7 separate regions of the Mus musculus genome follow, and regions 1, 3, 4, 5, 6 and 7 are each reported to be linked to region 2. Evidence: microRNA targets listed by miRTarBase, many of them from high-throughput screens and not tested one by one. Region 2 holds a microRNA gene; each other region holds the end of a gene's coding sequence. Distances are between the middles of the regions.
The links. Region 2 holds the annotated microRNA mmu-miR-124-3p (UAAGGCACGCGGUGAAUGCC, at 2,069-2,088, opposite strand). A microRNA usually pairs through its seed, bases 2 to 8, with sites in the 3' UTR of a target mRNA and lowers its output. Matches are read on the target gene's strand: a 7mer-m8 pairs with bases 2 to 8, a 7mer-A1 pairs with bases 2 to 7 and ends in A, and an 8mer does both.

Region 1 (4,216 bases), not on the chromosome of region 2:
GACAAGCCATTCCTAACCTGAATGCAGTTATCTAGGGATGTACTATTTTTTTAAATCCAGAGATTAAGGGCCAGTGCAAGGTGCTTGGAGAGGTGGTAGATCTCTTCAAGATCATTGTCAGAGGCAGGGCAGTGGTAGCATACGCCTGTAATCACAACACTCAAGAAGCAAAGCAAGAGTGTCTCTGAGTTTGAGTCCAGCCTGGTGTACATAGTGAATTCCAGAACAGCCAGAGCTATTTAGAGATATCCTGACTCAAAAAAAAAAAAAAAAAAAAAAAAAAAAAAAACATTGTCAGAGACCCACATGCTGGTGGATTTTGCCCTTCAGAATTATAGAATGTCAGTAGATTCCCCCAAGTGCTAGTAGGTAATAGCAGACATGGCCTGAGCCTCTTCCCAGCATCTATCTCATCTGCAAACTTAAGACAATCAGTTGAATATCTCAATACAAGACTAAATGAGCATGTAGGATGCTGGACTCAGTAACTACTGCAGAGTCCGCAGCTGCCAGACACTGTCAGGATGTAGCATAACTAAAAAATGGCTAAGCTTCGATGCACAGCCTTTCACTGAGGGACCATAGGACGTCTTCCACTGTGGAAGTAGAAAGAGAAAAGGCAGTTGTAGGTGAAGAAAGATCGTGTTGAGCTCTTGAGAATGGCCAGGAGCCCAGCCTTATTCTGGGTTGGTAGTGAGGATGAGGAGCTGGCTATAGACAGTGTCTCCCAGAGCCTGGGTAAGATCCTGCAAGAGCTCTGACCCAGGAGAGCTGGTTAAAGCTCCCAGCTGCTCCCCTGATCACTGCTGATCTGCTAAGGCTCCCTCCTCTGAACCCACCCAGAGGCAGGAAGAAGACATTAGTCAGCCACAGGCTCAGACTCCCAATATAGAGGTAAGAGAGTATCACCATGGTGTCCAGGAACTTTTAGTGGCATATCTGGCAGGTAGAACAGTGTTCCTAGAGAGCATTTGGACCTTAGGGACCCGATGAGCAGCCAGAAGATCAGAGAGTTATGCCCCAGAAGTGACTGGCTGGTAGTGAATTGGCAAAGGTAGTGATACTGAGTTGTGGGAGGGCAGAGCTAGGAGACAAGGACAGCTGTGCCTACAATGAGTCAGTGACACTTTTATCCCTTGCAGGTGGCCTCAGCCCTGAGTCCAAGAAGATCCTGACACCTACACTCAAGAAGCGGAGCCGAGCCGGCCGTGGAGAGACCACCAAGCCAGAGGAGGGCACTGAACGGCCAGAGCCCATCCAGCCTGTGACACTCAACCTGTCTTTCAAGCGCTATGTCTTTGACACCCAGAAGCGCATGGTACAGACTCCCTGAATGAACCATCCTGCCCAGCTGCAAGCCAGACCACAGTGCCAGATGCCCCCAGACATGCCTCAACCTCCCCAGTCTGAGGCAGTCAACCCCATCCCACTGCCATTGCACTGTTATTGAGCCCCATTGAGAAAACCTGGGGAAAATGAGGAACAGTGCCAGGAGGGCCTGCCACTCCATCCCTGAACCCACTCAGGATAGCAACGAGGCCTACTAGAAAATGGCCTTAGCAGAGCCAGCAACCTGGGTCTTCCCCCGATAAGAGTGTGCAGCCACTCAGCCTTGCCCCAACTAGCTGGCACCCTCCAACGGAAAATAAACATCCCATATGTGACCTAGTGTGCCCATAGTCTGCCTGTCTCCCAGGGCTTCCCAGGCATCACAGGGAGTTGTGTGCATTGGGTTTAGGGCTCGAGAGCTGCTAGGTTCAACCAAGTGGCTCCTGGGATGTTGTCAGTGGACCTTGAAGAATGGAGGTTTTCTGAACAGCTGAGTTTCCTGGGGTCCTCTGGCCAGGGGTTAGTACCCTGGGGTTCCATCCTTGCACGAGAGGTCAATAGGCCCTGGCCTCCATTTTTGGAACCATGGACTCCCAAGGGTGCTAGACCAGGGGTGGAGTACCTGGACCCTCTCCATGCTCATCTTCAGCCCCAGCACCCTCAAGCTTAGCATGGGGACTGAGATAGGGGCAAGAGGATAGAACTGACCAACGAAGGAAATCAGAGCTTTTCCAGACACCTGTAAGGGGAGCAGATGTCCCAATGTTTCTCGGTTTGGCCTCCAGACAGACGTGAAGGCCTCCCTTTATCCCAGTAATCGGTGCATTATGCTTTAATTTTCAAAAATGGCATTAAAAATATTAACAGGGGCAGGCTGTGATCAAATGACTTGGGTTTGTTAAGTCCCAGAGCTAAGAGCAGAGAAAAAGGAGCCAGACCACAGAACACAGCGTCCCTGTAAGTCATGGCCTCTAATCAGATACATCATCAGCGGACCAAGCCCCTCATGCCTCCAAGAGGCCAGGATGACAGGGGCTGCCCTTCACTGTCCTTGGCCAGGCCCCAGGCAGCCATAGTCAGGACAACCTATAGCTGAAGGCACGCAGAGGCGGGGTCTTAACTACCAGGCCTTTAGGGACCAGCTTCCTCCAGTTGTAGAACTCCCCTGGCCTGGGTGTGACCCAGAGGACAACAAATGTAGTGAGTGTAGCCACTGTAGGCACTACAAGAGCTCCTTTCCCAAAGGACCTGAGTCCCAGCTCCAAGGAACCCACTGGTGCCACCTGCATGGGCACCTCAGGGTGGCTGCCTTCTGCTTGATCCTGGGCCTCCTGTGCCCTCATTTAGCCCCACCCAGCCCTAAAGACTACCATGCTTGAAGGACAGGGCCACTGGCTGAGCTACCCCATGCCCTGCCCCACCCTATTTACCTGTTAGGAAGCCTGGGGGAGCAGCCAGTTAGAGCCAGTGAGGCCCAGGCTTGGGCACAGACCTCAGGGCGGGTAGCCAACCTGGCTGAGGTCCCATAGTCCCCTCCATCACTCCTGGGACCCAAAGAGGCCTTCCAGGATTGCAGCCTCTAAGTGTTGGTGAGTGGGTGAGGAGGTCTGAATCCTCATAGGGAAAGAAGCCCTTCTGCTCAGCACAGAGCCTGGACCAAGATCCTCCCCGGACAGGGGCCCGGAACTTTACTCCTCTCAGAGTCCTGTCTTCTCTGATTGGGCATATGGCCTTGGGCAGGTCCCCAGCTTATATCTCAGGATCCCCGTTATATAAGAGAAGCCCTGCTCTATTGGGTAGACCTGAGGACATGGGCCTCTGCTGAACATGGAGCTGCTGTTAGATTCTGCAGCCTGGAAGAAAGCCAACAGATATGTACACAGAGGTATTGCAGCCAGCCCCAGCCCTAGCCTAGCTCCAGTTGAGCCATTTTCTCCAAGACCTGTACGTGTCTCCATGTCCATATCCCAGCATCTCTCCTGAAGACTACTTTCCTAAGAGGAAACACAGAAGAATCCAGGGTTGAGCACTGGAAGGGGCTGCTCAGCATGTAACCCCTGAAAGCTTATAGGACTCTGAGAATGTGTATAAGGCAGGCCTGCCCAGTGTGGCCTCAGGACACAACTGGGCCGCAAAAGCGGCCTCTCACAGACATGCTATGGATGGACCTGAATACACGTTAGTGAGTTAAAGATGGGATAAAGGGGCAGCCCAGCCAAGGCAGCAGTGGGAGGGAAGCAGTGTGCACTGCTGATCAGGACTGGCTATAGGCGGGACCCTCAGCTCCAGGACCCCCCACCCCTCACACAGTCCCCAGCCCCAGTATTTTAGGGAACACACGACTCCAAAGGGCCAGGCTCATTGCGGCAATAGCCCACAGGAACTTGCTTGGGATCTGTGCCAAGGGTTAGAGCCCTAGACAATCCCCAACTCCTTGCCATAGTGCCTGGGGTCTGTCTTTGGAAAAGAAGCACCCTCTAGCCTACTACTAGCTGGCCTGCCCACACAATATGAAGTCACACAGCCAGTGTCACAACACAGGCTGGGTGGGGGCAACATGATTGGCAGGCCCTGGAGCATGGGGCTAATGCACCAGCACAGAGATAAGGCTTATCTGGAACCGTCCCTGGAATCGAGACTCTGATGGAAACAGGCTCGGGGTTAATATATTTTTGATAGATAACGGCTGGTAAATGGGAAGCCCTGGGGGCCTGGGGCAGAAGGGGCAGTCTCTGTCCTCCCAGCCAGGCACATGTGCACCTGGGTTCATGCGTGGACAGAGCCTCTGGACAGGGCCAGTGTCTGGACACCATGTGCTCAGGGTTTGTCTGTCTACTGCATGTGTGACATCTGCACAGAAGCAGAATAAAGGAGAGTGGGGTCTGGG
Region 2 (4,216 bases):
ACTGAAGCCCCTAGCCTCCACTGAAGGGGGTGCAATGAAGGTGAGTGAAGGTGATTGCTACTCAACCTGGGCTGGGGCACAGGGCAGCTTGCCATGGGCTTTACCGCCTATCCACTCTCCAGCCCACCTCCCTTACCATCCTCCCCACCCCGATCTCTGCTCACAGCCCAGAAGGTCACTGTGGTCAGGAGCCAACTCTCCAGCAAGGGCAGCGGTGGCACAAGAATGGAGCTCTAGTTCCAGGGGAGAGGCAGGGGGAATCTTCCCTCTGGGAAAAGAGCCAGGCTGCAGTGTAGAGCACCCCCAACAGAGCTCAACGAGGGGCATAGTCCTGTGCCCCCTAGGAACCTTTACACTAGAGGACTGATACCTCTACCAATTCCTTCAGTATTGCTTTGAGTTCACCTTGCAGCTCTTCTGAGGGAGGAAGGGAAAAAGAGACAGCAAGCCCAAGGTCAGAGCTGTGGTATGCTTGGGCCCCTTCTCCACCCTCCAAGAGGCAGAGGTTCTGCAGAGGCTCTGCTTTGGGGACAGGATGCAAAGGCACTAGTGGTCTATGAGTGTGTGACTGTGTGCATCTCTCCATGGAGTACTGAAGCAGTCTCCCTGCAGCATCTCTTTGTGTCTTCACGCGGGCCCTTTTGTCTTGCTTTTCTGCAACTGCACAGGACTTGAGGCTAGGAGAATTTGGGCGGTCAGTTCTGGATCTGGGTCAGAGCCAGGAAAGGGGCTCACACTCACCCCATGAAGATGAAAAGCAAGTCTGCAACTTGTCTGAGGGGGTGGGGGTGCAGAGGTTGTGACCTCCTCCACTGACAGTCAATCCTAGGTCATCAGTTTCCAACCTGTGTATCAGGACTCCTTTGCCAAACTCTATCTCTAAAAATATTTACATTAGGATTCATAACAGTAACAAAATTGCAGTTATGAAGTAGCAACAAAATACGAAGTAGCAACGAAAATAATTTTATGGTTGGGGGGAGGGGTCACCACAACATGAAGAACTCTATTAAAGGGTAGCAGCATTCTGAAGGTTGAGAACCATTGCCCTAGGTAATAGGGCCTGTAACCTTGGGGATCGGAAACCTTGCTGGGAGGAGACATGCCAGAGCAGAGTCTCATACCAGGACGCCAGCAGGTGGCGCTGGCTGCCGAGGACAGGAAAAAAAATGCCTGCAGCAGACCTGAGTGGGTGTCACTGCGGCTGCAGATGGTGGTGGGGGAGGGAGGAGGAGGATTTGTCATTTTCTCTCTGGGCTGCAGAGCCTCACGTGCCTCGCGTCCCGCATAGCTGGAGAGAGGTTTGGGGGCGGGATGCGGTCCAGTGTATCCACCCAGATTTAGACCTTGGATGCAGATGCAGATCCCCCACTTCCACAGCTCGAACCTCAACCTAAGGTTCAGGGGTTTCTTCAGAATCAAAGTGATCACCGCCTTCACCCTGCGACCCCAACTAGAGCGCCCAGGGGACAGACTGCAGTGACCCCAGACCCTACCCCATTTCTCTGGGGTTGCTGCGGCAACTATCCAGGGCCCCCTAGATGGGAACAGTGATACTCATGACATCCCTTCGCCCCAAGCGCATTAGCGCCCCGTCTCTCTGGGTGACTCCACGGCCAGCACCGAGGACAGCGCCCAGGACTGCCCGTGGGTAGCGGGACGCGCCAACACAACCCGGGAAGCTGCACACTTCCCTCCCGCGCCCCTCAGCCCGCCGCTTCCCCAGCCCCTCCCTTTGTCTTCTGGCCCTCGTCTCCCTCTTCGGGATCTCGAGCACTCAGAGCTGCGGACACACGTGGTCAGGGGCCGGGTGGCCACATTCTCCCCCGCGGTCGCCCCCACCCTTCTCGTGACGTCCTAGGCATGCGGGCCCCTTTGTGTCCCGCGGCCAGATCCCCGGCCCAGCAGCTGGGCCGCCCTCTGGGCGGGCGCATTGTTCGCCGGATTTGTCCGCGGAGCGAGGGGCCACCGGGGGCCGGGGCTCGCCTTTTTCCCGCGGGAGGGGCGCCGCGACGGCCGGGCTCCCGGGCCATTTCCATGAGAAAGGAGCGGCGGAGGCGCCTCTCTTGGCATTCACCGCGTGCCTTAATTGTATAGACATTAAATCAAGGTCCGCTGTGAACACGCAGAGGGGCCCTCAGGGCTGCGGCGGGCGGCGAGCGGCTGGACCGGGTCGGGGCCGGGCTGCGGCTTGCGTGGGGTCCTAGCCTGAGGGGCGCGAATGCTCCAGCTTCTTCGCCGCGGGGCGGGCGGGCGGGGCGGGGCTCCGCGCTAAGCTGGCAGTGCTGCCCTGGTCCGCCCCCAACTCCGAGGAGCCAGTTTTCCTTCCCCTCCCCGAGGTAGAGAAGGGCCCGGGCAAATCCCTCGGGGCGTTCCTGCAGTAGGGACCCCTCGGAGCCGCGGCGAGGGAGATGCAGGAGCCGGCCGGGGTGAGCGCGCGTGCTCCGGCCTGCTGCAGTCTTCTGACGGGTGCAGAGCCCTCTCCACCCCGGCGGCGCAAGCCTCTCCGCAGCTGCCCTTCCCCGGCTCCTCTTCCCGGCCCCACCAGGAGTGCGTGAGTGCGGTGAAAATAAAGAACCTCGATGTTCGGAGATGAAAAGCAGTCTCTTTCTACAACCCGCCGAGCTCTCTTCTCTTACGCCTCTGGCTGGCGAGAAGCTGCTCGAGGAGAGAAAGACGGGGTGACCTGAGAGACCGGCTCGCCCCGGCACGGGCCGCCAGCGCAGTTACCCGTCCGGGCGCGAGCCGCCGCCGCCTGCTGCTTCTCGGTTGCCGCCTCCGCTCCGCAGCACAGCCTGCGCTGTCGCCCGATCCCGCCTCCGCCTCCTTCTTGGCGCCCGCAGGACCCGCACGCTACGGCCCCGGGTGGAGGAGAGCGCAGGGACAGTGCCAAGGAAGCCGGGCAAATTCCTGAGGGCCGGGTGGGAGCCCGGCGTCCGCGAGGTCGGCACTGCGGGAGTCTGACTCCCACTCTCCTTGCCTAGACCGGGTGCGACCGTCCCCGCGCTCGCCGCCGCCGCCGCTGCCTCCGCTCGTATCCGCGCTCGGCTCCGGCACCGGGCGATTATCACTGGGGCGCGCGGTGACGTCACCCGACACCGGCTCTGCCGCCTCCTCTCGGAGGTGTCCTTGAGAACTGAGGGGCACGCGCACCGCGTACACGCGCACTCACGCACCGCGCGACCCGTGCCTCCCGCGCACACGCTCGGCGTCCCGCTCCGCGCGCTCCTCGACTCACACGGATGCAGCCCTCGAACGCCTTCGATTGTGCCCGGCGCCCCGGGGTCACACGTATGCAGAGAAACTGCCTCTTGGACACTCTCGAACCGCTCATTCTGTCCTACTGCACGACCCACGCAAAAGCTTCTCCCGCAGCCCACCGACCGCAGCTCCTCTACACCCACCACCAGCCACACCCCGCTGTGCAGCGAACACACTGTGCTTGCCTCACACAAGCGGCTGGTCCTTCCGGAATAACCACTCTACACAGTGGCTTCTGAGCCTCTCTCTCCTGGGGGGGGGAAAGAAAGGGGTCCTAGCCTCCTGCTGGCGGCCCTATGTGGAGAAGGGAGTTAGACATCTCCCCCAACCCCCATCAGAGACTGCTCCCCTTTTTCACCCTTTTTCTAGCTGGGTAGCGAGTCCTTGCTTACGAGGATGGGAGAAACACAGTCCATACTTCACAGTTGACTGCAATTGAATCTACTCTTTGCAGTCTATTGAAGGGTGACTACCTTGATCTGGGTCTTTAGGGCTAGAGATCAGCGGCTTTCCAAAAATAAAAAACAAAAAAAAAAAAAAAAAAAAACCCACGCCACTCTAGGCCTTCCCAGCGGGCCTTTGTTCCTGCAGACTGGAAGAACCACACAGAAGTAGGCAGGCCTCTGTCCTATCCTTTCTCCCTGGGCCAACCCAGCCCTTGACCACCTGCCCTCTAACAGAAGCTAAATGACCCAGGCATAAATTCTTCCCCCTCCCTTTCCAACCTTCTCCAGCCCCGTGGGAACCCCCGAAGACACTCAGCTGGGAAGGAGGTAATCTCCGGAGATCTCATCCCACTGCCCGAAGGTCCTCAGAGGGTCAGGATACTTCTCTCCCAACCCCAAATCCTTCCCTTTGCAGGTGCCAGTCTCAACCGACGCTAGAGAATCCCCTCTTACACAGACAGCTAAGCCCACCTTTGCTTATGCCCAACCCAAAGTCAAGGAAACCACCC
Region 3 (4,216 bases), not on the chromosome of region 2:
TTGTGTATCTTCCTCAATAGATGTCTACCTTATTCTACTGACACAAGGTCTCTCAGTGAACCTAAAGTTCATTGTTTTTGGTTAGGCTGGCAGCTAGCAAGTCCCAGAAATCTTCCTGTCTCTGTCCTACTCCTAGAGCTAGGATTACAGGCACATACACCCATGCCCAGCTTTTTATGCGAGTGCTGGGGATTTGAACTCAGTTCCTGGTGCTTGTACAACAATCATTCTTATTCATTGAGCCATCTCCCCAGACCCTACTTGTGCTTTTTGAAACCTTCAGGTTACAAACATATCAGATTGAAGCCTGCTATCCTGTAGGCTTAGGAACTCTTAGCTAGATTAGGCTGGCTGAGTATGAATGTGAAAGGTGGTGCTTATTGGCCAAAACAATTAGTTCCCATTCTGACTCTGAAAAGGATCTTTGGGGCTCCCTCAGGTGGCTAATGTGGGAATTGTTGGCTCTTGGCATACTAAGTGTGTACCTTCCATGAAATAGGTAAAGAATAGAAAGCCCTTAGCCTCTAAGGAACAAGAAGATCAGTCTGTAAGCGAGAGTGGGCAGTTGGGTCAATGGTTAATATATGACTGAGGACATAATTAGACGGACGTGTAAAAAGCGAGGGGAGCTGTAAGGAAGAAATTATGCTGGAGATAGACTTCGAAAGAGAATCAGGTGCTGCCTCCCCCACAGTGAGCTGGAGGTTGGGTATAGGATGCTGGCGCCGAGGAAGTGGGTAGAGGATGGCACAAGCTGTACTCTTGGGGATAAAAGAGTAGACTTGTGCGAAGATTATATGCCCCAGTACAGGGGAACACCAGGGCCAGGAAGTGGGAGTGGGTGGGTTGGGGAGGAGGGCAGGGAGGGGGAGGGTATAGGGGACTTTCGGGATAGCATTTGAAATGTCAATGAAGAATATATATATATATATAAAGAGTAGAGTTGGGAGGGAGAGGGTGTGAAAGGTGGACCAGCATGTGCGGCTTCACGGCATACCTGGAACCTGTGAAGGGCAAGAGGCCATTTCTGTCCTTTGCATGGCTTTCACTTTGGAGTCCTGGACTCCACAGTGGAAGAGCTAGTTTAGAGACTTGCAGACAGAGATGACTACTGCCCTCTTCCTTATCTCCTTTGGATCTCTCTCCAAAGCAGGTTTCCCTACAGCTGCTGAGTCCCAAATTCTCTAGCTTGCAATTTTTTATTAGGTCACAGTCTTATCTGACATATTGGTGAAAGACACATGCTGAAAGGCTAATTTATGGTACTCAGAGGTTGCAGATCCCACACATGTATGCTGGGACTGTGGCTCATCTCTACCCCAGCACTTCCTGCTGTTCCCCTAGGACACCAAGTCAGGAAAGAAGATCACCTGTGCTTAATGGACAGCTACCCTGTGCTGGCAGGACACTGGCTGCCTCTGTCCCTGAAAGAACCTATGGTCTGGCGGAAGTAGGAGAAAGCAAAGGCAGGAAACACATGAAATGAGGTGAAGGCCAAGAGCCACAGACTGAGGAGCGGGAGGGGATCTGGGAAGGAAAGGAATGGCCACAAAAATGCACTGTCAGCAAGCAGGACAACCTGAGCAAGTATATGGATGACAGGGTCAAAAGTGATGGTACAGTTTTGCTGCAATACAGTACATGTTAGCCTAGTGGTGGAAGTGGAAAGGTAGGCTGGGAGAACATTGAGATCTGCTAAAGCATTGTGAGTAGTGAGGTAGAATCTAGAATTGTTTTAGGTCTGACATCCCCAGGACTGGAAGAGGGACAGATCAGCTTGCTATCACAGCACACCTGACTCAGGTGCAGATGAGCCAGGAAGAACTAGGTCAGCAGCCATAGAGATGGGAAAAGGGACTGAAATGGGAGATCACCTCATTAGACATACAGAAAGTTAGCTGCCTTCCTCTGGCTCTGATTCTCTAGGGAGAAAGTACTGCATGGCAGATGCAGAGGCCAAGCTCCATGTTCTAGGCAGCTACTGTAGGTCATCAGAAATTCAACAGGTTGGGTAACCCCTAGGACTTCGGCCTGTGATGACAGCAAGTTGTGTCTTGTAGTGGCTGAGGTGAGGCTACTTCAGTGGTTGGAACTATCTGCAGGACTGGCAGGCACAGTGCCAGGTCTATCCCCTGTCACAGTTTGGGGTATGCCCAAGGCTGAAATTTCCTGGTGCTTGCATTTCCTCCAAAAGGGCATAGTGGGTGAGTGGGCCTGAGTCAGGAAAGCTGGGAAAGAGTGAGCAGTTAAGAATGTAGGGTCTGTCTCTTTCTAATTAACTCCGTCTTTGAGGTCTGAGGGGACACTGCTTCCACACCTAGTTCCTACACCAGATTCATTCACAGGACCATCTTCTTCCCATGGTATTCTGTCCTTTTCCATTTTTCATAATTTATTTGTATTTTATGTACATTGGTATTTTTGCCTGCAAGTGTGTTTGTGTGAGGGTGTCGGATCCCTTGGAACAGGAGTTACAGACAGTTATGAGTTACCATGTGGGTGCTGGGAACTGAACCTGGGACCTCTGGAAGAACAGCCAGCAACACAAACTGTATGGCTTTTATTTCTTTGTTATTTTCCCCCAATCATCTTACTGTTGAACAGTGATGAAGAAGAACTTAGAATTCTTCAAGAATACATTTCAATGAGTTCAGAGAACAGAAATGGCTGGATTGTTAGTGGCCTGTACTCTTTGGAAAGTGGCCTAATAATGTTCTGTGAAATGAGCTGCAAAGATGTCTGTAACCCATTCTGCCCCATCTCACGGAGGAGTTTCTACTCAAACATCATGTCGATGAAGGAGACCACTCTTTTTGGCTTATTGCCAAGCAGCCATCATCTCCTGTTTATTAGGAGCTGACCAGCTAACACAGCACACACTGTACCATTGCATTGCACCATCACTGAGCAATAAAGACCACACCAGAGTCTGTGGATAAATTGAAATGATTTATGGAAAAACAATAGAGGCAGACACTGCAACCATCTTTGAAAGAGACCTAGACAGTATGTGAGGGGCAAGGAACCAGCAGTGGATTTATCCTTAAGGATTGGGGATTACATTCATCAATACTTTGAGCTATTGTACTGTGATCATATAAAATGTATGTCTGAAGGCTTACTGTGTGTTTACAATTTCTGGTTTTGCTTCAATTTTTAAGACCCCAGATAAAGACTTCACTTTAGTGCTGTCTTTCTGATAATGAACCCAGGAGACAGAAGTAGGGGTGTGGGGGAGAGAAAAAGACCCAAGCAGTAGATTATGACTCTGCCTGAGAAGTTCAATGCTATCCTGGGAGAAATGTCTCCTGTTGTCACCTCCAATGTCATGGAGGGTGTCAGGTATGCTACCATCTAACCAGCAAGGGACACACAGGTCAAGAGAAACTCAGTTAAGGATATGCGTTCTTTAGAACAGAGAGGAGAAAGTTACTGGGGAGGGCACTGGGGAACTTCACTTGTCCTTCCGCAGGTGGTGGAAACTCTGCACAGTCCTTTCCACAGCTTCATCCATGGTGACCAGTGGCCGGTACCCAAAGAGCTTTTTGGCTTTTTCACAACTGTAATAGTGGAATGTTCCAGCCAATGCCACTCGAATTGGTGTAAAGGTTGGCTGGATTTGGATGAGAGGGCTGACCACCATCACCAGTAGAGATAGCAGGAAAGCAAGGTAATAGGCCATCCAGTAGGGGATGTGGTACTTAGGGGCCTCATAATTGAGGCCTGTCAGAATGCGGGACAGGAACGTCCAGAAAGGGATTGGTTCATCGTTGGTGATGTGAAATGCCTGGTAAAAGAACATGAAGTTAGAAAGGCCTGCACAGCTGCTAGAGTGATCAGGCCACACATGGGTCCCTAAGCTCAACTTGCTGGCTCCACTTCCAACTTCTGTGGAAAGCAAAGGCACACTGTCCAGCCTGCCCCATCTCTTTTGCAGGGGCACTAAATGGTGAGGTTGTGTTATCAAGCGTCACATGCCTAGCTGCAGCAATGTGCCCGTCTTAGACTCTCAGAATGGGCAGTGTTTAAGGGCAAAGAGGGGAGGTGATACAAATTCTACAAAAGGCCAGGACTTTAAGTGAAGTTTAGCTTGCACTTAGAAGGTTACATTTGGTTTTAATCTTTGCATGTAAGATCTATATTAGATCTTTTAAACCAAAAGCTATAACCACCCCATTTCCAACCACTCCCAAAGTGGGAAAATGGAAAATGTTCC
Region 4 (4,125 bases), 96 Mb from region 2:
CTTTGCTTAGTGCTGATTTTGTCATGATGTATGAGAACCCCAAAGAATGGGGAAGCCAGGGTATGCACTTCACTTTCTAACTCTAATAGCAGAAAGTTCTCATGCTCTACTTCAGCCATTCATTAAATATTTTTAAGACTCTGGAGTGGGAGGGTGTTACAAAGAACCTTCCTTCATTAGAGTTGGGACTGAAACTAAAGTAAGCCCATCCTGAGACAACGAACCGCCTTCTGGCTGCTCTGCATAGAAAAACAACACCGGCACCAAAGTAACTAAGAAGGAAAGGAGGGAAGAAGTGCAGCTGGAAGTGAAGAAATGACACAGACCTCCCACACACACACTTTAAAAACTTTTATTTATATAAAAAACTCATTTGTTTTTAAAAGCATTAACAAGAGAAAGAAAGAGAGAAAAGATACAGAGCAGAAGATATGCCCCTTAGTAGTATTCGGTGGGAGGGTAGGATTTTTGGTTTGCTGAAATTGAATGTTTAGTGTTTTTATAAATGAAAAAGGAAAAACAAAACAAACAAACAAAAAAACAGTTAAAGGTCCCCAAAGCCCATGGCTATTCTATTACCCACACCCCACCGAGAAGAAAGAGCACCAGGAAGAGCAGAAGAGGACAAGAGAACCCAAAACCAGAGGCAGATAGATGTGGGTGGGGGAGGCTCCCCTGTGCAGTGTACTCTGAGGGTCACAGAGAGCACAGAGCTCCTTTTTGCCAGAAAAGGGAAACGGGACTAGGAAGAAATGGGAAGGAAGCAAAGGTTGGGGGGAGGGGGTGACTGCAATGTATAAGAAAAGGAGTTGGTGGGCTGTGCACTTTTCTCCTACCCCATAGCCTCAATATATTAAGGAACAGGACAAGAGGGATAAAGAATTCCAGTTGCATTGAATAGAGCTTTTAGATTAAGGAAAGAAAATAAGGAAAAATGTTTAAAAAAAATTGCACCCACATAGTAGCTGCTTCTCTAGCCAAGCTGTAACACTCACTACAACAGAAAAGGGTGTAATGGAGGCATGGCCTGATTCCCTGTAGCCTTTCAGAGATGATGGGAACTGGGGACGACTAAGGAGTCAGAGTCACAGCACTCCCTCCTAACAGCCTCACTTTGAGACTTATCGGGATGGATTTTCACCAATCCCAACTGCACACTGTTAAGCAGAAGCCTGTTGTGGCTATGTCAGAGGCTTTAACAACACCCAGTAGGGACGTGAAGTTCCCTAAGTTACCACTCCTCTTCTTTGCTTCAGCTACTGGGGGTCAACAGTGGGTAAGAAAATAACAAGGTCTAACTTGCAAAATCATGAGAAATGAGACTGCAGAGGCAAAGAAAGGCACCTGGAAGAGAGGGAGGAGATGCACCCCAGGCCAAAGGCACAAAGAAGAGGCAAAGCCAGGGCAACTCCTACCTTACAAGGGCAAAGGGGGAGGAGCTATGTACAAGTCTTGTAAGTTGGCCAACAAATCCAGGGAAGGGGAGGAGAGGGAGGACAAGCTTATAAAGGACGAAGAGAGATGGGGTGAGGGGGCTGAGGAAAGCCAGCTCTGAAGCTTCCTGCCAGTTTCAGACTAACCACTTCATGTACATTCCTCCTAGAGGTTCATCTTCTCAATAGACAATCTTTCTGTTTCTTCTCAACCAGGGGGTTCCATGGCATTCTCCTTTTTACAAAGCATCTTGCAAAACAGCCAGGTCAAGTTAGCAGGTTTATCACAGGGTAGGAGAGGAGGGTTAAGGACAGCCTTGGTCAGGACAGCACCCCAAGGTTATCCTGAAGCTGACAGAGAGATGGAGTCTGTAGGTCCTTTGTGGTCCCTGCCTTGAACAGGAGGAACAAGAGTTCTCACTCTGAGGTTGGGGAGTACTTCACTTACTTGAGGGCCCTTGCCAGGTGGAATGTGCCAATGTTTCCAGCCTTCTTGGCTTCAAAAATCGCCACTGGATAAGGGAAGAACTCACACTTCCCCATCCAAAACAAAATAAAAAGTTCCCCCCACACCAGAAAAAATAGTCTTGATTAAAAGTCATCAGTTTGTCAGAATGCTGACTGCTGAACAGACAGTGTGTAATTTTCAGTTCTTCCCATTGCTTCCAGTAGAGAGTTCCACTCTCCCTCCCTCTATGCAAGGCCAAGAGTTCCAGGGAAGGCTGGCAAAAAGAGCTAATCTGCAGCAGTTTCTCAAGATATGCAAATAACAGAGTCAGGTTTCTTGGGGGAAAACTGGAAGTAGGGTCTGGGAGGATAGGACAATTAAACTTCAGTGGAAGATGTAGGTAATTCACGGATGACGGCAGCCAATTTGGGCTACAAGGGTAGGAGTCAGCCTGGCAGTTGGCACAATAGTCCAGCGAAGAAAGGAAAAAAATCATCAGTCCATTTCACCACCAAAAAATAAAAGTAATATATTATAAGCCCATATGGAGCAGGTAGAGTGGCGCTAAATCTTCTGCTGTGGGGAAAAAAGAGAAGGCTGTTAAGGCTGAGGACAGGACGACAGGGGAAACATACACAGCTGAGCAAATCTGGAGGCAGGAAAGCAGCACACAACATAGAACCAGATCATCCGCTGCATCCCAGCCTGGGAAGAGGTCGTGATCACAGAAGTAGAACCCTTGGGTACCATGCGGCTCAAACAAGTATCGCAGGCCTGATCAGATCAGCATGATTGGCAAAGAGTAGGCACACAGCAACCTCCTTCCTCAGGACCATCTTAGGGGTGACTGGAGGACATACCATGGGGGAGTAAGACACTTGGTTCCCCTCATCATCCAAAACCAACACATCCAACTCTTCCTCCAAAGATTCCTGCCCCTCGTCCTGCTGTGAACACATGCAATTTGTTAGTAAGAGAACCAAGGTAAGACTTTCTAAGTGTGTGCCAGATGGAAGGGAAATCCCAACATCTGTAAAGTGAACAAACCCTGTTAAGAGTACAGGGCAAACATCCTAAACAGGTAAGTGCAAGAGCAGGGAGATGTCCTCGAGAGCAGGTTAGTTAGTGTCAGTGACGTCAGCAACGCTTGCAAAATCCATCCACACAACCAATGAGCAACATCCCAAGAACCATCAAGATGCATCAAAGAAAACCTACCAAAAAGATTTGTCTTTTTCTTCCCGCCGCCTCCCATTTTATATATCATACAGTTTCAAAATAGTATTAGCCTCATACACAGCAATACATAACAAGGATTTACCATCAAGGGTGCTCCCTTCAATGGTTCCATATCACCCAGATCCCCAGATCGGTCCAGTGTTCTGTTGTGGTCTCCTCTCTCATTCAGTGTGGAATAGTTGTTATCTAGAGGAAGAAAGTACACAGAAATAAGACATTCCTTCTAGTATACAATGTATGTGAATATGTGAATTAGATTGTGAAATGAACTGTTTTAGATGCACCAACAAGATATTAAACACTGGTGCTTTTTAACACTTACACATAACTTGAGTATAATGGGAAAGATGGTGTATGAGAAATACCCAATACTGGGGATGTACTTCAGTGGTAGAGTGGTTAGTCTAGATTCAATTCCCACCACTGCAAAAACAACAAAGCAATAACAACAAGAAACAACAGTGTATCCCTTGGTGAGTGACACTAAAGAGACCTGGCCTACAAAAGAGATACAGCCCTGAAATTGAGAGAAGACAGAGAAATATGTTAACAATTGAAAGAAACTGATAAAGCAAAACACAACTTGAGTTTAGGTTTTGGGAATGAAAAGAATTTAGAAGAACAAAGGGGAAGGATATTCCCATAGAAGGCTTCATATACCCAAGTAGAATGATGAGATAGAATAGCAAATAGGAAGGAGGAACAAGAATTTGAGGTCATCCTCGGCTAACCTGGGCTATGAAATCCTGCTTAAAAAAAAAAAAAAGACCAGTAGAGAGTAAAGAGAAAAAACAAAGAGAGTTAGGGCTATACTAGTTATATGCCACATGAGACTTTCTGAGAACATATGTGGGAAGAAGAGGATCTATCAAGAATTCAAGGTCAGGGGGCTAGAGTGATGATAGTTCAGCACACTTGTTGCTACTGCAAGGGCCTGGATCAACTCCCATCACTCACTTGGTGGTTCATAACCAGCCCTAACTCCAGTTCTATGGGTTCTGACGT
Region 5 (4,216 bases), not on the chromosome of region 2:
ATCAAAGTCCATAGCTCTGGAAACGTCTCTCAAAGTACTACTTTTGGGCTTTTGTAATTCCACTTCTGGCAAACTGTTCTTGTTAAGTGTGTCAACCCAAAACGTGATTTTTATGCTTTAAAGCTCACCCTGGAAAAGGCTCAGTGTAGTGGACTGAGGGCCAAAAGATTTGGTAGTGACTTAAACCTATGTCCAAACAGTACTCTCTGGTGAATACCCCCAAGTTATTTATAACAAACATACACAAACATACAGCTGGGCTGTGCCACCTCTCCAGATCATTCTTTTTTGTTTTGTTGTTTTTCGGAGACAGGGTTTCTCTGTGTAGCCCTGGCTGTCCTGGAACTCACTTTGTAGACCAGACTGGCCTCGAACTCAGAAATCCGCCTGCCTCTGCCTCCCAAGTTCTGGGATTAAAGGCGTGCGCCACCATGCCTGACATTCTCCGGATTACTCTTGTTCTTCTCCTTTTGTTTTAGACAGGATTTCTCTGTGTAGTCCTGGCTATCCTGGAACTCACTGTAAACCAGGTTGACCTCAAATGCAGAGATCCACCTGCCTATACCTCCAGGGTGCTGAGTTTGAAGGCATGTGCCATACAGCCCAGCCTCTATAACTCCTTAAAAGTATTAGTTTTGTTTATGTGTGTGGATATACATATGTAAGTGCAGGAGCCTGAGGAGGCTAAGGTATTTCATGCCCCTGGAGCTGGAGTTATAGGTAATTTTAAGTCTGATACACTGGGATCCTCTTCAAGAGCTGTGCAAGCTCCTAACATCAGAGCTTTTTTTGTCTTCACTTTCAGCGGCTGTTTTGCTTTTTAATTTGGGGGTTGGGGATGAGGTACTGAAACTGGGTTTCTTTGTAGCTCTGGAATTTACTCTCTAGACCAGAGATCCAACTGCCTCTGCCTCCTGGGTGCTGGGATTGGATGAGTCCAAAGAAATATTATTAAAGGCATATGCCACCATGCCCAATTTTTCTCCCTCTCTTGGTAGATGGGTATTTTGCTTGCATGTCTATATACATATGCATGGCTGGAGGAGGATATTGGATCCCTTGGAAGTAGAGTTTTTGGAAGAACAGCTAGTGCTCTTTACTGCTTAGTCATTTCTTCAGTCTTTTATTTCTTGAGACACTGGCTTTGCAGCCTTGGCTGACCCCACACTTGCAGTGTTTCTGCTTAGTGCATAATACACCAGCTCTGACTAACTTCTTCTATAGCATCCTGCTGAAACCAATCACTGCCTAGTGTTGCTACTGACCTGGAGGCTGACACTCCAACATATCTTTTAAGGACTGGCTGTGCATTAGCACTCTTAAAACTCTTAATTCATTTATCAAGCAATCAAATACTGACTTATCTTCCTTTCTCACCTGAAAAGTGCAGAGTAACTGATCTACTCATTTAAATGGGTTTGTTGGGAGGGTATATATTACCCATGTAAACCTGTGTCTAATATTTGGAATCATTTCATGTTACCTTCCCTAGTTTTACTTTTTTTTTTTTTAAGATTTATTTATTATATCTAAGTACACTGTAGCTGTCTTCAGATGTACCAGAAGAGGACATCAGATCTCATTACAAATGGTTGTGAGCCACCATGTGGTTGCTGGGATTTGAACTCAGGACCTTTGGAAGAACAATCGGTGCTTTTAACCACTGAGCCATCTCTCCAACCCTAGTTTTACTTTTTAAAAAATTTTGTTTGTATGAATGTAAATGACGTACCATGCATGTGGAAGGGTCGGCTCTCTCCTTCCACCATGTGGGTTCCAAAACTAAATTCACACTGTCAGCCTGAGCAGCAAGTGCCTCTCTCCCCATTGAGCTATCTTGCCTGGCTCACTAGCAAGGAAGAGGAAGCACATAAAATCTGAGCCTCATCAGTGCACACTGTAATATTAGCACTGGAGAGGCTGAGACAGGAGGATCACTTCTAGTTCCAGACCAGCTTGAGCTTCAAATCAAAACCGGTCTCAAAAGAGAGAGAGAGAGAGAGAGAGAGAGAGAGAGAGAGAGAGAGAGAAGAAAAATAACCCCTACACAAATACCTTAATCTGCCAGACTCTGAATTCTATTTTGTATTTGGTCTGGGATAAAACTTGGTGCTCTATTTACCAGTTCTATTGCTTTATGGTTTTCCTTTTGCTTCTGCTGCGTTTTTTTTTTTTTTTTTTTTAAAGTCCTAAATTTCTCTGCATAGCCCTGGTTGTCCTCATGTCGACCAGGCTGGCCTGGAACTCAAAGATCTGCCTGCCTTAACCTCCTAACTGCTGGGATTAAAGGCTGTGCCAGCACTACCTCGCCCTTTTGCTTGTTTTTTTTTTTTGGGGGGGGGGGTGTCCTTAACTCTGAAGCCAGGACCTTGAAGAACATCTGTTTTCAGGAACCTCCTGGGTCCCTTCTAACCACTAGCTGGCCAAACTACAGGGCGATCATTTCCTTAGGCAAGCAAACACTCCAGGACTTTAATATGGTATTTCCTGGGGCTGGAATATCAACAGGAAGTCTTGTGGATAAAAGCTCTGCCAAAACATTCATTCCGAGAAAAGGACTGGTTAAGTGACAAATCTGCCCAGCTTGTACAACATCCTGCAACCTCCACGTGAGGCTCCAAAGCCTCACGCCTTCAACCCTTTTCCTGCCCTTAGGCTCTTCAGCTAGCAAGATAATAGATATGGCTATGTAGGACCCTAGGTAAGAAGAACGACCAGACAAAAATGTGCACTTAAACAACGTCGGTGGGACATTTATTGGCATTAGGAAAGGGTTTCTTTAAACGATATAAATATACTGAACTCAAACTCTCCATCCAGACGGTCCTATTTCAAGATGAAAGCAAAGGGGAAGAGGTAACATTCCTGCTTCTACACCACAAAGTTTAAGGCACAAGAAGCTAGCAATCCCCAGTGCGGTACAAAACTGCTTCCCACTGTCTCTCAAGACACAGTCACTTAATTGTCAGTCCAAATTCTAGGAAAAATTCCCAGTACACCGGGGCAATCCTCCCCATCCCCGGTTCAGTGACCTGTAGCTGAGAAGCCAGGACAAGAAGACTCGCTAGGCATCTAGATCAAAGTCATCGCGCTCCTCATTGTACTCCAACACGTGCCGCTTGATCTTGGATGAGTCCACCCAGGTGACAAAGTCCTCCATGCTGCGAGTGACGAGAAAGGCGGGATCAGTGACCACGTCTGGGCCCACGCGGACATGACCCTGCTCCACAAAAGCCACAGCAGCTTGGAGATGCTGCGCCATGCGTAGCTTGAGGAGCAAAGTAGGCAAGCGGCGGCGGCAGAAGGACGAGGCCGAGACGGAGTCGCAGAGTTCCAGTGAGCCGCGCGTGGGCACCAGGCCCATAGCGTACAGCTTGTCCAACAGCGCCGCCGAGGCGCGCACGCGGAATGGGTCGCGTTCCGGCAGGTCGCGCAGGCGCCGCGCCAGCTCGCGCACCGCTCGGCTCAGCTGGTTGTAGCGCGTGTACTCCTCGCGCCGCTGCAGCCGGTACCGCCGCAGCACACGCAGTTCGTGGAGGTTGTGGTCGGTGACTTCCCAGTTTAGGAAGTCCACCTGTTTCAGCAGCTTCTGCTCGTGGAACTTAAGCTTCCGCACCATGATGGAGAATGCGGGAGAAAGGGAATACGTTGAAAATCTAGCGTAATTTCCGCCTCGACGTAGAAAGACCCCGCCTCTAGATCACTGGACCAATCAAAAGATTGGTTAAAGACACGCCCCCGGTTTTTCATTCGTCCAACTCTGGAACTTCCTGTTTTGAAAGGGGAGCGGGGGAGAAAGAATTGCGGAAGGAGAGCCGTGTCCTGCGAATACACTTTTCCTTGCATGCAGTGCGTATGCAACTAGTCTAGTCCAGTGTTGTGTTTTGTTTTTAAATATTTATTCATTTACGTATTTTGTGTATATGATTGCTCTGTCTTCATACCGGAAGAGAGCTTCAGATCCCCTGTTTGTGGTTTTCCTGGGAATTGAACTCTGGACCTTTGGAAGAGCAGTCAAGTGCTCTTAACCGCTGAGCCATCTTGGCAGCACCTAGTTTACTCTCAGAGTTCTGTCTTTGGTGACTGAAGAGAGTCTGCTCCGTCAATAGCTGTAGATGTCAGTTTCCAGAGAGAGAGGTTACTGCCTTTAAAAGAGTTGTCTCATAGTTTTGGTTGTGAGCCTATTATTTAATGGCTGAGCTATCTCTCCAACTCT
Region 6 (4,216 bases), not on the chromosome of region 2:
CAGTAGGCATCTGGGGGAACAGACAGTGGCCCCATAATATGGCTGATGCAAAGAAGGACTTTCTCATTTGGGACATGAGCTAAACTCCAGACCCTTGATGGCTGAAGTCCAGAGTTCTGACACTGCTGTAGGAACTCTCCCTTCACTCAGGCACTTTCATTGTGGGATCTCTGATTCCCATCCCGAAAATAAAGATTTGACTTTTCAGTATTATTCCTGGGCACCCTAGGGGTTCCTCAGTCAAACTGAAACCAGAAAATATGGCCATAAACCGCAAGAAACTCAAAGATCCTACTACAGACCCGGGTCTGGGAAGACTGCATCTTCGAAGGCATCCCTTGTTTATTATGACAAGATGGGAACCTAATGAAAAGCCCCTGGAACTGAAGTTAGTGAGTCATGTTCCTTCCTTCCTCCCACCCCTTGAAGACATGAACTGAAGCCCCAGATGATATAGAGGGGGTCTATGAGGGGTGCCCTGGCCCCATGCCAAAGGACCACACCCTGCCATTAAAGGAGAACCACTTTGGGAATGAAGACACGTTCATTTGCCAAAAATAGCCAACGCCTGCATATTTCTGTTTTAAGGCAACGTTACCCTTCCATCTATCAGATGGAACAGCCCTGGGTCATTCAGAGGAAAAATTAAATTAAGTGCTCTCTTTGGAAACAGCCTATGCCCACTCTCCCTCCCCCTCCCCCCCAACCCGCTCTAAAACAAACCAGCTCTTTCTTTTATTCCAAGATGATGGGGCTTAGAGTCCTTTTATCCTTCCCGTGTGCAGACAGTGGCGGAGTCAGAAGGCCTCCTGCTGTGACTCTATGGGGAGGTAGGCCACAAGGAGACACCTGGCTCCTCCCAAGGAGAGACCGTGGCTGGTCTCTGGGGCACACTGCTGCCTCTGGCTTCAGAACTGTGGATGTAGGTGCACCAAAGGACTTTGGAATAAAATTCCTGAATCTGGAATGTGAATTCCTGAGACATGAAATGTGTTCAGAGTGTGGCTTTCTCTGCCTCACACAAATGACTTTGGGAGGGACTACACTTTGGAACTCAGCATGAAGATCGCCACACCCCAAGCACCCAGGGCTCCCTTCTTCAGTCAAGGTCCTGGCCACGTACCCCACTCTCTTCCCCAGGTGAAATGCAAGCAGAGCTGTTACCAGCTTTACACTGGACCAGGGCAGGGACCTCCCCCCACCCACCACGCCTGCTTTTGGCAGCAACAATGCCACAGCCTAACTCAGCACCTACGGTGCCACCAGAAGCCACCATATGCCATTGTTAGCCTCTTGTAACTGACACAGGTAGTTAGAAAGGGGTGCCCAAGATCCATGTGGGAGCCACATGACAACAGCTGGAAACTGTAGACTTGGCTGGGCATGGTCTCTGGGTTTCCCCTGTGCTGCACCCCCACACTGTGTGAGGGTTGGGGCGGAGGCAGAATGGCCACAACCAAGGCACACTGGGCCCAGGAAGCCCATCTATGACCCTCTGAGTCACAAGGGCCAATTCTCCACATCAAAATGAAGAGAGGTCTCTGTAAGATAACCCATGTCCATCCCAAACCCACCCACCACCCAATACACACTCACGCGCGCGCGCACACACACACACACACACACACACACACACACATCCAGTCCTGGGGCTTTGTGTTCCTGGGCCCCAGAGTTCGTGGGAGAAGGGGAAGAATGCCTGAACCTCTGCAGGGTGGGAGGAGATGATACTCCAAGTATCTGCAAAGGAGCAACCAGAACATGGTCTTGCTGACGAGGCCCAGCACCTGAAGCCAATGTAGCCCAGGTCTAGGCTCCAGGAGAAATAGAGCAGGCCTGGTTTCTATTCCTGCTGTCCCGACCAGCAGCAGGCCACCCACCCCTGCCCTGACCCACACTGCAGACTGGGTGCGGTTTGGGTGCTCTCAAGCAGGGCAGGCAGAAGCAGGACAGAAGAGTGGGTAATGCAACAGTGTGGAACTGTGGGTCTGCTAAGTCTGTACCCAAGGTTCTGAGAAAGTCATTCCCACAATTTTCATCCGGTGTCCCCCAGAGCAGCAGTCCTTGTCTCTCCAATAGCATCTCCTGGAATACCTGCTGTGCTGCTCTGAGGCGGTAACTGACGATGCCGTTGCCACCATCAGTCCTGTGGGATGTGTGAGCGCTGCCACACTCACAGACTGAAGAGGCAGAGAGGGGGCGTGGCGGTCCTGTCCAGTGGCCCAGGGCACGAGAGCTTAGGAAGCCGGATAAAACAACATCAATTTTGGGGAGAAGCAGGTCCAGTACAATGTGCCCAGGGTACTATTTCCCAGTCTGAGAACATAGTGTGATAGTGAAGGGTCCCAGGTGCCTTCGTGTAGGACAGGCAGGGCCCAGCCGCCTCCATGGGTGGTTGGCAGCCATGATGTGCCAATCCAGGCAGGGTTTGCATCTGGCCTCCATTTTCCTAAGGATTTCTGGAAGCAGGTAGGTAGGCAGGCAGGCAGGCAGGCAGACAGGACCAGCCTTAGAAGGCAGAGGTCCTTCACAGTTCCATAGGCAAGTGCTCCCATGGTCTGTCATGGCTTACCACATCCCTGTGAGGTGGCCGGTCTCTTAGCCAGGCCAAAGGGCAGAGAACCACAATTGAGTGGTAGGCAAGAGAGGGTCCTAGGCCTTTGGGGGGGGGGGGGGGGTCTTCTGCAAAAACACCACATCACTGTCTCCAGCTGTCCTGTTCTGCCCCAATGTAATCCTAAACCTCACAGAAACTCCAGAGTGCAAATCTATGTACAAAGTAAGGCGGCAGAAAGGCATGCCCTCACTGACCTCGTGGACCGCGTTCATCCCTGAGAAAGGGGGGGTGGGGTGGGGGAGAGGGGGGTTCAACACCGCTGAATCTCATCTTCGTGGATAGCTGTATTTGTGCAATTTGTGGGTGGTGTTTTTGTTTTGTTTTAATTTTTTTTTTGAGATTTTTTTTTTCTTTTTGTTAAAAATTGACACCTGAGGTGAAGAAAACTGTTTTGCTGTGGACTTCTCAAGTTCGCTCAGCTTTCCTATTACCAAAGGGGTGAGGAGGCGCGGTCCAGGCGCGGGTGCTCAGGGTGAGCTGGCCGGGCTGATGGTGGGGCTGCTGGCATCGGAGCGGCTGTAGTCGCTGAGCGAGCCGGTCCTCGAGCCCCCGCCGCGCCGCTGCAGCATGCCTGGGTGGAAGTTGGCGTGGCGGCGTGCGTGCTTCGTCAGGTGGTCGCTCCGCATGAAGCGCTTCTCACAGATGGGGCAGCTGAACTTCTTCTCGCCCGTGTGCGTGCGATAGTGCCGTGCCAGCTCGTCCGAGCGTGCGAACTTCTTGTTGCACTCCTGCCAGCTGCAGGCGAAAGGCCTCTCACCTGCGGGGAAGGGGGACAGAACAGAGGTAAGTCTTGGCCACGCCCCACCGGCTCGCCAGGCCACTGGCTCTCACCATCCTCCAAGGCCTATCTTTGCCGCAGACCCAGCACCCACCCATCCACGGACACTCGGGGTCACCTGACAACCACAGAAAATCAATCACGCCTTTAATCTGAGCACTTGGGAGGCAGAGGATCTCAGAGGATCTCTGAGTTCGAGGCCGGCCTGGTCTACAGAGTGAGTTCCAGGACAGCCAGGGCTATACAGAGAAACCCTGTCTCTAAGAAAAAAAAAGAAAGAAAGAAAGAAAGAAAGAAAGAAAGAAAGAAAGAAAGAAAGAAAGAAAGAAAGAAAGAAAGAAAGAAAGAAAGAAAGAAAGAAAGAAAGAAAGAAAGAAAGAAAGAAAGGAAGGAAGGAAGGAAGAAAGAAAGAAAGTCAATCACTAGTGTGAAAAATTTGAAAGTTAAGGACAACAGAGCCACCAACTGTGGAGGAAAAGGGAGAAGCTGGCAAACAGGAGAATTCACCTAAAACCTCTAATCAGAACTCTCAACAGAACCTGAGATACAATGCCAGGCACAGAACAAACAGAAAACATAAAAAGCAAGTTCAGGGGCTGCTGAAATGGCTCAGTGGGTAAGAGCACTGACCGGAAGAGCAATCCTGAGTTCAAATCCCAGCAACCACATTAGGGTGGCTCACAACCATCCCTAATGAGATCCAATGCCCTCTTCTAGTGTATCTAAAGACAGCTACAGTATACTTATGTATAATAATAAATAAATCTTTGGGCCTGACTGGAGCGAGCAGAAGTCCTAAAATTCAGTTCCCAACAACCATA
Region 7 (4,216 bases), 89 Mb from region 2:
AGCGAGTGTTCGGAGTGGACCTGGGGGCCCTGCACCCCCAGCAGCAAGGACTGCGGCATGGGCTTCCGCGAGGGTACCTGTGGGGCCCAGACCCAGCGCGTCCATTGCAAGGTGCCCTGCAACTGGAAGAAGGAATTTGGAGGTGAGGTGGCGCGCGGGAGGAGGGCGGGAAGCCAGAGGGTATGTCCTTATAAACCGGAGGCAGGGAGGACATCCACAACCCTCCTGTCTCTCACCGTGGGGCCACTCTCCCATCAGCCGACTGCAAATACAAGTTTGAGAGCTGGGGGGCGTGTGATGGGAGCACTGGCACCAAAGCCCGCCAAGGGACCCTGAAGAAGGCGCGGTACAATGCCCAGTGCCAGGAGACCATCCGCGTGACTAAGCCCTGCACCTCCAAGACCAAGTCAAAGACCAAAGGTCAGCGAATATGGTGGGGTTGTGGGCCAGGCTACTCCATGCTCTGTCTCTGCAGAGCAGTCTTAAAGTTAGGAATGGGCAGGCACTTGAGGGCCACTCTCAGGAGATGCTAAACCCTCTGCCCAAGTAGGAACTACTCTTTCTGTTGGATCATCCGACCTGGGTTCCTGGGAAAGGCTTGTCTTTGTCAACTGAGGAAGGTGGGGTGGGATCAGGGAGGAGTTAACTCTGCGCTTAAAACTATGGAAAGGCTGTCCCAAAGGTACATGCTGCTACCTGACTCCCAACAGCTATTGAGGCCAGCAGGGCAGAGGTGACTCTGCCCATTTCCCCGGTGAGGAACTTGGAGTACTCTGATCCTAGATGAAAATAGAAAGTTGAAAGTCAGGCTTGGTAGCTCGTGCCTGTAAAAAGCGGCACTTCAGGACTGAGGCAGTAACACTGCCTTGAGTTCAAGGTTACAGACTGAGAGACTTGAGAGTCTGTCTTTAAAGGGGGGGGGGGGGCGCGAGGGTTAAAAAGTTGAACGAATAAAGAAAGGTTTCATATCACATGGCTGCCCTTTCCCACCACTTCCAGGTGAACTGGTCAGTCACCACTAGGGGGCAGGATTTTCTCTCCTTGATGGACATGTCTGCGTTGTCTGGTGAGTCCGAGCTAGGTCACCCACCGCACTAATGCATCTCCGTTATTGTTTTCCAGCCAAGAAAGGAAAAGGAAAGGACTAAGTCAGGAGGCCAGAGAGCCTCCGGCCTCGCCTGGAGCCTGAACGGAGCCCTCCTCTCCCACAGGCCCAAGATATAACCCACCAGTGCCTTTTGTCTTCCTGTCAGCTCTGTCAATCACGCCTGTCCTCTCACGCCCACACCAAGTGCCCAAAGTGGGGAGGGACAAGAGATTCTGGAAAGTGAGCCTCCCCATACCCTCTTTTGTTCTCCCCACCCTGATACTTGTTATTAAGAAATGAATAAAATAAACTCACTTTTTTCCAATAAAAGCTTCTTTTTTAATATATAAAAGCCCCTTCCCAGTTTGCCATGGAGCTCTGTCGGAGGTGGGAAGATGGGGAAAGATGGACTGAGGGGAGCTGAGGGCTATGAAGGAAGTGCTCCCTACAGCTCGTGGAAAAAGAGCAGAACATTTACAAAAAAAAAAAAAAAAAAAAAAAAAGTCTCCCAGGGACCCACAGGGCTGGGGTTAGGGAAGGGGACCTAGGTGACTCACTTGAACTCTGTCCCAGCTCATCAAGAGTTTCTGGTCCAGGCTACTGCAAGTCTGGAATTTTCTCATTGGGGATCCATGAGGGTGCTTGCTTGTGTCATTCGCCACTGTGGGCTGTATGGATCACCAAGTTCCCCACCATCACCTTTCCCTCCTTGGACCCATACCTCCCTCCGCTCAGAGGTAGAGAGGAACACTGCCCACTGCTGTTCATTTGATGTGTGACCTGGGGGGGGGGGTTCTTGACAATTTGACAATAAGATCCACCATTAATTGATTCAGTCCCCTGGAGTCTGTATCTCGGCTTAGCATGGCCTCCCAGTTGCCCTGTCCAGATGACTGCTGGCCAGGGGAGTGCCAAAGGGCTTGGCTTCCCATCCAGAGCCTGGCTGAGCAACAGTGGCAGGGAAGTCCCTCACCTTGGAGTGGGACTTGGGGGCAGGGGAAGGGCTGAGCCTACATGCAAGGGAGAGGAGGGCGCAGGAAGGCGGAAAGCACCGATTACAGCATAACGGGGGACCCCACCCTTGCAAGCCTGGCTCCTTTTGCTCCTCTCAAGATGCTCCCAAGTTCTGCTCTATTCATCCACCTCCACCGATGGTTGGCCTTGATAGAGCCACTGCCCACTCCAGCCATCGTCCCCCATCTTCCTGAGGCAAGGTAAAAGATATGGGCCAGGTGGTGCCAGTTCAGACCGTCCCTGGGCCGAGCCTCCTAGGCTTCAGTAGAGATCTGCTCTCCCATCCCAGCGAAGAGCCTCTTGTACCTCACGGTGTCTGGGAGACCTGTTCTCTTCAGCAGATGCGAACTCAGAGTGGGGCCGCCTACTCTCTCCTCCACAGCCGGTGAGCCATGTGGTTCCCCGGTACACACTCTTGACACCAGCACCTCCTAAGGCACCTGCCCGTCTACCTGGCTGTGCCGATGTTCCGATACTGGCACAGCAAAAGGTGCCGGAAGGTCTTTTTGAAAGTGGCATTGCAGAGTGCATAGCAGGCAGGGTTGATCGTGCTGTTGACGTAGCAGAGCCAGTAGCCGATGGACCACACCCTTTCGGGGATACAGCTCTGGCAAAAGGTGTTCACCAGGACCATGACATTGTAGGGTGTCCAGGTGAGGATGAAGGCCAGCAGAATGGCAAAGATTGTCCGAGTCACTTTGCGCTCCCGGGCCGCCATCTGCCGCTTCTTGCGCACCTGGTTACGAGCGATGCTGGCAAACTTTCGGGCCACATTGGCTGCTGGGCGCATACCAGCTGGCGTGGCAGGTACGATCTCGATGGCAGTCACACATTCACTGCCTGTCTGCTTTGTCACAATTTGGATCTTGGACCACTTGGAGGCTGGGTTGAGGGTTCGTGGCTGCAGGGTAGGAGCGGGCAGCGCTGGTGTGGTGGCGGCCTCTGTGGTGGACAGCTCTGTGGGTGGCCGTTCCTTGGTGTTCTGGGTGGCACTGCCTGAGCTGGACTCATTGGAAGTGTCCTTGTCAGCCACTGGGCGTGGAGGCGGGGGCAGGGCTGGCGGAGGAGCCTCTTCTAGCTTCCCGTTGCGCAGTTCCTCTCGAGAAGCGCCCCCTGGTGGAGGTTTCTTAATGCTCGGCTTCATCAGAGGGCTCTTGAGGAAAGCCAGAGTCTTGGCCTTCTTCTCCTTGGGGCCCTCGGGTCGATGCTTGTGAACACGGCTGCGGCTGGCCAGCGAGATATGAATATACAGCACCGTCATGATGACCACAGGCAGGTAGAAGGCAGCAATGGCTGTGCCGAAGGTCACCGCCGGGTTGGACAAGAACTGGATGAAGCACTGGTTATCAGGCACTGTCCTCTTGCCCACCACAAACTGCCAGAACAAGATGGCAGGGGCCCAGAGTACAAAGGACAAGACCCAGGCGGCTGCAATCATGAGGCCTGCCATCTTAGTAGTGCGGCGGGCTGGATAGGTGAGGGGCTTGGTGACGCAGAAATAGCGGTCAAAGCTGATGATGAGAAGGTTCATGACAGAGGCATTGCTCACCACATAGTCCAGGGCCAGCCACAGGTCACAGACCACGGCACCCAGGGGCCAGTAGCCCTTGATGATGTATAAGGTGTAAAGGTTCATAGAGAACGCCCCTATGATGAGATCTGCACACGCCAGGCTGAACAGGAAGTAGTTGTTGACTGTCTGCAACTGCCTGTTGACCTTGATGGACAGCATCACCAGGATGTTACCCACCACAGTCACCAGGCTCAGGGAACCAGTCACTGTCGCAATGAACACCATCTCCACTGTCTCCAGGTGGTTGTGGGCTGTTGTGACCAGGCGCACAGACTGATTGGCTGAGCTGCCATTGACAGGTGTGAAGTTCGCCATGCTGAACCCAACTGGAGACAGGTGGGCAGTGGCTGGAGGAGGAAGGAGACAGCACAGAAGTGAATGGTGGAAGAGGATGGGGGAGGGGGGAGGGGGGGAGGAGTCACAAACTGTGGCTGGAGGAACTTTATCCAGGAAAATGTCAGGGCTCCCTGTGCCAACCATTCCTGAGTTCTCAGTCCTCTACCGTTTACTGGAAGCTTCCTCAGGCAAGTACTGTAATCAGC

Region 1: the mRNA of Eefsec is a reported target of mmu-miR-124-3p. The part of its 3' UTR that is shown has no 7-base or 8-base seed match.
Region 3: the mRNA of Nsdhl is a reported target of mmu-miR-124-3p. The part of its 3' UTR that is shown has no 7-base or 8-base seed match.
Region 4: the mRNA of Ctnnd1 is a reported target of mmu-miR-124-3p. Seed matches in the 3' UTR shown: 7mer-m8 at 1,378-1,384 and 7mer-m8 at 1,338-1,344.
Region 5: the mRNA of Imp3 is a reported target of mmu-miR-124-3p. Seed matches in the 3' UTR shown: 8mer at 2,887-2,894.
Region 6: the mRNA of Klf13 is a reported target of mmu-miR-124-3p. Seed matches in the 3' UTR shown: 7mer-m8 at 1,459-1,465 and 7mer-A1 at 585-591.
Region 7: miRTarBase lists Mdk as a target of mmu-miR-124-3p. Seed matches in the 3' UTR shown: 7mer-m8 at 1,232-1,238.

What each region holds. Positions count from the first base shown.
Region 1 is chr6:88,255,318-88,259,533 of GRCm38, reverse strand. Eefsec (eukaryotic elongation factor, selenocysteine-tRNA-specific) reads left to right here. Exons shown (of 7, transcript NM_023060.3): 7 at 1,143-2,200. The coding sequence ends at 1,333. Among named protein-coding and RNA genes, the nearest start is that of Dnajb8, 35 kb to the right of the region's middle.
Region 2 is chr2:180,891,955-180,896,170 of GRCm38, reverse strand. It overlaps Mir124a-3 (microRNA 124a-3), which reads right to left and starts at 2,131; the gene lies at 2,064-2,131.
Region 3 is chrX:72,956,853-72,961,068 of GRCm38, reverse strand. Nsdhl (NAD(P) dependent steroid dehydrogenase-like) reads right to left here. Exons shown (of 8, transcript NM_010941.3): 8 at 2,541-3,787. The coding sequence ends at 3,455. Among named protein-coding and RNA genes, the nearest start is that of Zfp185, 28 kb to the left of the region's middle.
Region 4 is chr2:84,600,447-84,604,571 of GRCm38, forward strand. It overlaps Ctnnd1 (catenin (cadherin associated protein), delta 1), which reads right to left. Exons shown (of 19, transcript NM_001085450.1): 18 at 3,203-3,306; 19 at 335-2,457. The coding sequence ends at 2,446. Among named protein-coding and RNA genes, the nearest start is that of Ctnnd1, 48 kb to the right of the region's middle.
Region 5 is chr9:56,936,910-56,941,125 of GRCm38, reverse strand. Imp3 (IMP3, U3 small nucleolar ribonucleoprotein) reads right to left here and starts at 3,626. Exons shown (of 1, transcript NM_133976.2): 1 at 2,728-3,626. The coding sequence starts at 3,619. The coding sequence ends at 3,065.
Region 6 is chr7:63,888,424-63,892,639 of GRCm38, forward strand. It overlaps Klf13 (Kruppel-like factor 13), which reads right to left. Exons shown (of 2, transcript NM_021366.3): 2 at 1-3,374. The coding sequence ends at 3,085. Among named protein-coding and RNA genes, the nearest start is that of Gm27252, 5.9 kb to the right of the region's middle.
Region 7 is chr2:91,927,022-91,931,237 of GRCm38, reverse strand. It overlaps Mdk (midkine), which reads left to right. Exons shown (of 5, transcript NM_001012336.2): 3 at 1-142; 4 at 259-420; 5 at 1,123-1,433. The coding sequence ends at 1,148. It overlaps Chrm4 (cholinergic receptor, muscarinic 4), which reads right to left. Exons shown (of 2, transcript NM_007699.2): 2 at 1,409-4,021. The coding sequence starts at 3,989. The coding sequence ends at 2,550. Among named protein-coding and RNA genes, the nearest start is that of Mdk, 2.7 kb to the left of the region's middle.